Linked DNA regions of Arabidopsis thaliana. The protein of the gene in region 2 binds, or shares a complex with, the protein of the main gene of each other region. Each region holds a gene or a part of one and is shown on either strand. Other genes may lie near its edges.

Evidence for each region. Proteins that work in one complex are often made in the same cells at the same time.
Region 1: NRPB7 (region 2) and NRPB4 share a complex: the UniProt entries of both Arabidopsis thaliana proteins name them as parts of the RNA polymerase II complex.

What each region holds. Positions count from the first base shown.
Region 1 is NC_003076.8:3,094,041-3,097,792, forward strand, and holds the start of NRPB4 (RNA polymerase II, Rpb4, core protein), read left to right. Parts: upstream 1-2,142; 5' UTR 2,143-2,235; coding exon 2,236-2,284; intron 2,285-2,462; coding exon 2,463-2,571; intron 2,572-2,711; coding exon 2,712-2,789; intron 2,790-2,937; coding exon 2,938-2,971; intron 2,972-3,066; coding exon 3,067-3,135; intron 3,136-3,252; coding exon 3,253-3,330; 3' UTR 3,331-3,602; coding exon of another isoform or gene 3,603-3,752. Other genes in the region: AT5G09910 (Ras-related small GTP-binding family protein), read left to right, coding at 1-276, 359-412, 504-631, 706-892; ABCF2 (ABC transporter family protein), read right to left, coding at 3,603-3,752. UniProt on the Arabidopsis thaliana protein: DNA-dependent RNA polymerase catalyzes the transcription of DNA into RNA using the four ribonucleoside triphosphates as substrates. Second largest component of RNA polymerase II which synthesizes mRNA precursors and many functional non-coding RNAs.
Region 2 is NC_003076.8:23,881,817-23,885,568, forward strand, and holds NRPB7 (DNA-directed RNA polymerase II), read left to right. Parts: upstream 1-1,539; 5' UTR 1,540-1,682; coding exon 1,683-1,798; intron 1,799-2,373; coding exon 2,374-2,539; intron 2,540-2,624; coding exon 2,625-2,675; intron 2,676-2,774; coding exon 2,775-2,840; intron 2,841-2,933; coding exon 2,934-3,002; intron 3,003-3,097; coding exon 3,098-3,160; 3' UTR 3,161-3,489; downstream 3,490-3,752. Other genes in the region: AT5G59170 (Proline-rich extensin-like family protein), read left to right, coding at 229-1,095. UniProt on the Arabidopsis thaliana protein: DNA-dependent RNA polymerase catalyzes the transcription of DNA into RNA using the four ribonucleoside triphosphates as substrates. Component of RNA polymerase II which synthesizes mRNA precursors and many functional non-coding RNAs.

The sequences.
Region 1 (3,752 bases), about 21 Mb from region 2:
AGGACTACAAAAACTAATTTGCAGAAATGGGCGGGTGAAGTTTCAGTAACTGGGGAGTTTTCAGCTCCCCTTTCTTCTGGTGGGCCTGGTGGTCTTCCCGTCCCATACATCGTTATTGGAAACAAAGCTGATATTGCTGCCAAAGGAGGAACAAATGGAAGCAGTGGCAATCTTGTTGATGCAGCTCGTCATTGGGTTGAGAAGCAGGGTCTGCTTCCCCATAGTGATGAACTTCCTCTCTCTGAGAGCTTCCCTAGCAATGTTGGTCTCATAATGGTAACCACAGACTAAATTACTTGCTTTATTTGAATTTAGTGTTATGCGGTATGTCATATAATTTTGGTAAAATTATGCACAGGCTGCCAAGGAAGCTAGATATGACAAAGAAGCTCTGACCAAAATTTTCCATATGGTTGGTGTCATTTCTGACCTTGCCATGTTTTACAATAGCTCTCTCCCTCTCTCTCTTTCTCTTCAACCTAATGAACGTTTTTCGTTTTCAGTTGATAAGAAGAAGATATTTCTCAGACGAACTACCGTCGCCTTCTTCAGCATGGTCTCTTTCCCATGCACCTTCCCAGCGGTTAGATGAGGGCACAAGTGATGAAGATCAGTTCTATAAAAGAACAAGGTATATATATTTATCATCCTAAAAAAAATCGGATTTCTTTTCTTTATCGGGTTTTGGTCTTTTGAATTTTGCAGCCTAAGGGAAGGAGATGCTTACAAATATAACACATTACCGCAACACAATCTCATGCAGTCTCCTACACTCTATCCGCAGCAACCACCTGACCGTTACAATTACGCTATTCCGAGATTCTCTCTTTCCAGTGTAGAGGAAACCAGCAATGGTAATGGCAGGTCTAAGCGGATGGATATTAACGTCTGAAAGTAAAACACAGATCAAATCTCACATTATTTTCCTGTAATCTTCCAAACATTATCTTCTTTTATTTGTCAACACTCCAAACATAATCTAAGTATTCTTTTTTTCTAAATAATACATGATTCGTGTGATAATTATCTTAATCATGTGAAAAAAACTTGATAAGTTTTTTTTTTTTTTTTTTTTAAGTTGGTAAGTATAAGCTTGATCAGTTAGAATTTAGAATCCCAAACTAAATCGGATTGTAAACAACTCAGTTCCTTATAAATACACTCGAATCATAATTGTAAGACAAAGAAGAAGAAAAAAAACAAAGTGTTGTATCCAAACGATGAAGACAACAAAGATTGAGAGTGAAGCCGTATGTAAGCATTGGTTTTTGTATATAGCGGAGTTCATCAAAGAAAGACTAAGTGAAGCGAAACTCAAGGAATACATGGGGTTGATGAAACAATTTAGGTCCCGGCATATACAAGGAGATGAACTCATAAAGTCTCTTCAAAATCTGTTTCAAGGAGACGTGGTTCTTTCTCAAATGTTCAACGCACTTATGAAAACAGAGATCCAAGAACTGCAAGGTAACGAAAATCCGGAAACAGTCGCAAGAAAAAGAACAAGGAGTGAAGCAGAGAATGATGATGGGATTGAAGAAGGTGAAATTCGAGAGGGGCATTGCGATTGTCCTCGTTGCAAGATTGGTCGGGAAGAAGCAGAAAGGCGTAGTATACCCATTAAGAAAAGAATTTGTCGTGGGTTTTAGAAGATTTTGTTTTGTTCTTAATATCACATGTTATTCAGTTTGTGCTTTTCAAATATTTTTCCAAATTCTATGTTACTACTCAATTTATGTTAAATCATAAAATAACTTGGGTTTTTTTTAATCAAATTATATTATGATAAATTTTGTTGTTCTTCTCTATTTATCATCAATTATAAATATATTTCTAATTAATCCTGTTATGATGATATTCAATTTCTTGCAGAATATATGATTGTAGTAAACAATTTTGATCTTTTTTTGCTATTAAATCAAAAATTTATACCAACTTTATCAAAATCATTGCCTATTCAAACTTGATGATTATTATTCGGTTTATTTCAATTTTTCTCTATTACTAACATAGTAACATTTATCTAATTAACCTCTCTTCCCCAAAAAAAATCTAATTAACCTCCTTGGATTTTCCTTTTTTAATTATAGAGTTTGCTTCTTTTTTTTTATATATAACCGGTCAAAGCTTTTGTTTTGTCTCATATTCATCACTTTCGTTGTTAAGACGGAAAAAAAAAAAAAAGAGGCAGAACCAAAAAACTTTAGGGTTCGATTTCGCTCCTTGGTAATCACCATGTCCGGAGAAGAAGAAGAGAACGCCGCCGAACTCAAGATCGGAGATGGTACTTCTCTATTCTCTTCGCCATATCCCCCGCTGTGTACCTCAAAATTAGGGTTTCTTTGCCTCATCGAATTGATCTTAATTCAATACGATTTAATTGAGCTTAACTGTATCGAAAATCCCTTAATTATTTGAGATTTATCATCGAAATTGATGGGTTTTATTCTCTTTGACAAAAGAGTTTTTGAAGGCAAAGTGCTTAATGAACTGTGAAGTCTCTTTGATTCTTGAGCACAAGTTTGAACAGCTTCAGCAAATCTCAGAGGATCCTATGAATCAAGTTTCTCAGTAAGTATAATTGTGTTTCATAGAGATTCATTGTATATTAGCCATCATGAATTGAAGAATTTAGTCAGTTTTATATGTTACTTCTAGGTTAGTGAATCAATGTTGAATATTGTTGAAGAAGTTATGTTTGCTCCTTGCAGAGTGTTTGAGAAGTCCTTGCAATATGTGAAGCGATTCAGCCGCTACAAGAATCCAGATGCTGTTAGACAAGTTCGAGAGTATCCTTTTTCTGAATTAGTTTGATTCAAAGTTTTTAAGTAATCGTTGCTTTGACATGCTTCCTTCTTGATGAGTGAGATTTTACAGTCACTGGTTTAATTCTATAGTTTTGTGAGAATATGCTATTCCTTAACTCAACTTTTGCAGAATACTAAGCAGACATCAACTCACTGAGTTTGAGGTACAATGTTAAATCTCTTGAGATTGGATTTTTGTTTATCAATTAAGTCGTTTCGGTAGAAGACTTAAAACATTGCATTGTTCATTATTGAACAGCTATGTGTTCTTGGCAATCTCTGTCCTGAAACTGTTGAAGAAGCAGTGGCAATGGTTCCTTCTCTTAAGGTAAATAAAGATTCTACTTTTTCTATTCAGTGGAGATAATAAGATAACCTCAAAAGGACAAATTGTATTGTTATGTAAGTGGACTTTTGAGATGATGTAAGCTTCTCTTTTGTGTAGACAAAAGGAAGAGCTCATGATGATGAAGCTATTGAGAAGATGCTCAATGATCTCTCACTTGTCAAGAGATTCGAGTAGTGCAGAAGATTCTCAAGATCTAAGATTCTGAACATTTAGCAGGATGCTTTACTTGCCTTCTAGCTGATCTGGAGTTAATTCGCCACGTCTGAAATTATAAAGCTTTAATGCCTAGAATTTCTGGAATGATACCTTCATGTTAAATGAATGTAATTTACAACGGATGATCCAAGCTTTTAATGAAATATACCATCTCTTTTTCACTAAATCAAGTAAGGGATGACACTATATACATACTACACCTAAAGCAGCTATGTGTGAACTGTGAAGCTTTAATTCCATCTCTTGGCATTTTTGCTGGACTTTGACTTCTTTTTGGAAGCTTGAAACGCTTTCATCTTTTGCTTCTTCCGTGCTTCTCTCTCAGCCTTTGACATCTTTGACTTTGCTTTCACTTTTGGAGCTTTTTCTTCCAATTCTGC
Region 2 (3,752 bases):
TTGACCAAAAAAGGTCAAATCCCTGGTTCCATATGAAACTGTCAAACTTTGGACGTGCATGGATACAAAAGCTTCTGTCAGTTTACTTTCCTGGATTTAGGGTTTTAAAACCAGCTGTGAGGTTTGCTGCAATGTGGCAATGTCACTGCAATGTGTTGTATAGAGTCTTAAGTCCTCTGTTTACTTTAAAACCCGTATTTTAACTTGCTGCTATTCACAACAAGAAAAATGAAGTCTTGTCTAGCTACTTTTGCTCTCGCAGTGTTAGTAACACAAGGAAGCATTTTTAGTTTGTGTTTGGCCTCCTCTGCTTCTACAAACTCTGTTCCTAATTGGTTTCATCATTGGCCGCCGTTTAAATGGGGACCAAAATTTCCATATTCTCCACCTAAACCGCCGCCAATCGAGAAATATCCTCCACCGGTGCAGTATCCACCACCGATCAAGAAGTATCCACCGCCACCATACGAGCATCCACCGGTGAAGTATCCACCACCGATCAAGACTTACCCTCATCCGCCGGTGAAGTATCCTCCACCAGAACAGTATCCACCGCCGATTAAGAAGTATCCTCCACCAGAACAGTATCCACCGCCGATTAAGAAGTATCCTCCACCAGAACAGTATTCACCGCCTTTCAAGAAGTATCCTCCGCCAGAACAGTATCCACCACCGATCAAGAAGTATCCTCCGCCAGAACATTATCCACCGCCGATAAAAAAGTATCCTCCGCAAGAACAGTATCCACCACCGATTAAAAAGTATCCTCCGCCAGAAAAGTATCCACCCCCGATCAAGAAGTATCCTCCGCCAGAACAGTATCCACCGCCGATCAAGAAGTATCCTCCGCCAATTAAGAAGTATCCTCCGCCAGAAGAGTATCCACCACCGATCAAGACTTATCCTCATCCCCCTGTGAAGTATCCACCGCCTCCGTACAAGACTTACCCTCATCCGCCGATCAAAACTTATCCTCCTCCGAAAGAATGTCCTCCTCCGCCTGAACATTACCCTTGGCCTCCGAAAAAGAAATATCCTCCACCGGTTGAGTATCCGTCGCCGCCATATAAGAAATATCCTCCGGCTGATCCATAGTAACTCAAAACCAAACAAGGACGTGTTTGTCTATAAGTATATGTCTAGTTAAAAAACTGTTCTGTTCTTTCTGTTATGTTCTTTCTTTTTCTTATGACTTTCTGTTATGATGCATCAAATAAAGAATAAACTGTTCTGTTTTGAATTTGTTAAATAGGAGAGTGCAAGCTCAAGAACAAGCTGTTTCATAAATAAATAAAATATATTTTCTAAAATCAAGTAAAGTAAAAAAAAAATAGATATTGTACTAAATGAATAAACTTGATTCAACAAAGTTTTGTACGTTGTTATAATTTCACTTAAATAATTTAGTGCGTCAAAAAAACAAAATTAAAACGTAATTGGTCAAGGAAAAAAAAACAAGTCTCAAGGGAAAAGGAAAACAAAAAAAAAGGAAAATTTAATAAGCAATCTGGACCGTTCATACTTTTTAGATCTGACGGCTGACAGAGAACTACCATTGGGCATCTTTTATAAACAGAGAGATTTGTTTGATTCCGGTCGAACTCAAAACATAATTTGCTCTCAATAAGACATTAACAAAGTCCCAGAGGCAGAGAGAGAGAATCAGAGAGAGAGAAGTCGAGATGTTTTTCCACATAGTATTGGAGCGGAACATGCAGTTGCATCCTCGTTTCTTTGGTCGTAACCTAAAAGAAAACCTCGTATCTAAGCTCATGAAAGATGTCGAAGGCACTTGCAGGTTTTCTTTCTCTATTCACTTCTAGTAGAAAATCACCAATTTCGGATGCTTTAATCGCAAACCCTTTTCCTCAATTCTCAATTCGGATTCGTTTTCCTTAAGACAACTTCGAAAAAGTTGCATATTTTTTCGAACCCTAATCTCCGTCTAGTTCAATTTGTTAGGTTTTAGGGATTAGAGTGGATTAAATTCGAATAAAGATCGTTCTTTTAACTAAATTGTAGTCTTTCTCTGCTGCTTGTGACTAAAGTCTGATTTTTAGCAGAATTTTTTTCCAAAGGGATTTGCTTTGAAGCCTTTAGCTTTCTTAGGATTAAGATATGACTTCATCCAGCTCACTTAGATGCCTGATTGCAAATCATTCAGATCCAGTATCTTGTTTTGTATTTGATACTCAAGTCTAAAACTTTGTTCTTTAGTATAGTTCGCTTAATCCATTGCTTGTGACAGAGATTTGTATTTTGAGGCCTCTAGCTTTTTGTATTTGCTTTAGGTTTAAGATGTGAAGTTTCATCATTGCAATGTCATATTGATACTTATCAATATTTGCTCTTTTCGTTTTGTGGTATGGACAGTGGCCGACATGGATTTGTAGTGGCGATAACTGGAATAGATACAATAGGAAAGGGTTTGATCAGAGATGGGACTGGTTTTGTCACCTTTCCAGTTAAATACCAATGCGTCGTTTTCAGACCTTTCAAAGGCGAGATTTTGGAAGCTGTTGTCACTTTGGTCAATAAGGTAATGTATCTATATAGTCTTATTTTTTTAGTCAAATGTCTTTAGTGACAAATCAACCTTATGGATTTTCCTAATATTATCACAGATGGGATTCTTCGCTGAAGCTGGCCCTGTTCAGATTTTTGTGTCTAAGCATGTAAGCTTATGATCTTCCATCATGAATTTGACCTCGAGTTCATTTTTGATTCTAGGTGTTATGTACTTACTCTTGTTCTCCTCTCTTTTATCACCACAGTTGATTCCAGATGATATGGAGTTTCAAGCTGGAGACATGCCTAACTATACCACATCAGATGGATCAGTGTGTTTCTTTCTCTAGTTCTTATTTCCCAACAGTATTATATGTGTTTCATCTATCTTCAAGGAACTCATTTTTCCAATGCTTCTCTTGCAGGTTAAGATCCAGAAGGAGTGTGAAGTGAGACTAAAGATTATTGGAACAAGAGTTGATGCCACTGCGATTGTATGCACCATCTCCTCCATAACTCTAGTCACAATCCAACTTATAGTTTTTAGATTATTCTTATCAATTTACACATTTGTTTTTTGATTTTGCAGTTTTGTGTGGGTACCATCAAAGACGATTTTTTGGGAGTCATAAACGACCCTGCAGCGGCATAAAAAGTTTCAAGCAGATTTCAATTTTGGTCTTCTTTCTTTCACAGAGAATGCTGTCTTGTGATAAAGTTGTATTATAGTTGAAGTTTTGGATCTATTTAATCCGAAAGATTGGAACCACGCTTGTTGGATTTAACTTATATGCAAGTTTAGTGAACTTCGTATTTGATCAAAACTGTTGTCATTTTGAGAACAATATAGTACCGAGTAGTGGATCAAATTCTACATGTCTCAATGAAAATTGTATAATTTGAAATTGAATGGATGTTTCATTGATTGTTAGTTATATTGTTTCATATGTTGTGGAAGATATTGAAACTCTTGTTTCATACGTTGTGGTTCTGTTTATCAAATATTTGATAAATCTAAGAAAACATGTTAAAAGTCATCAATTGCTTCTCTCATTCATCAACTTTCCTTATAGGATTTGGTTTTTGGTAAGACCTCTTTGACTATCGAGTAAAATATCTAATTGTATGATATATTGACCAAAATGTACTAATTAAATTCATTGAAAGTTTTCTGAATTTTAACACATTCAATGAATTTGAAAACGCTTTTTTCAAATAAATTTCCATATAGTTTCATAACAATG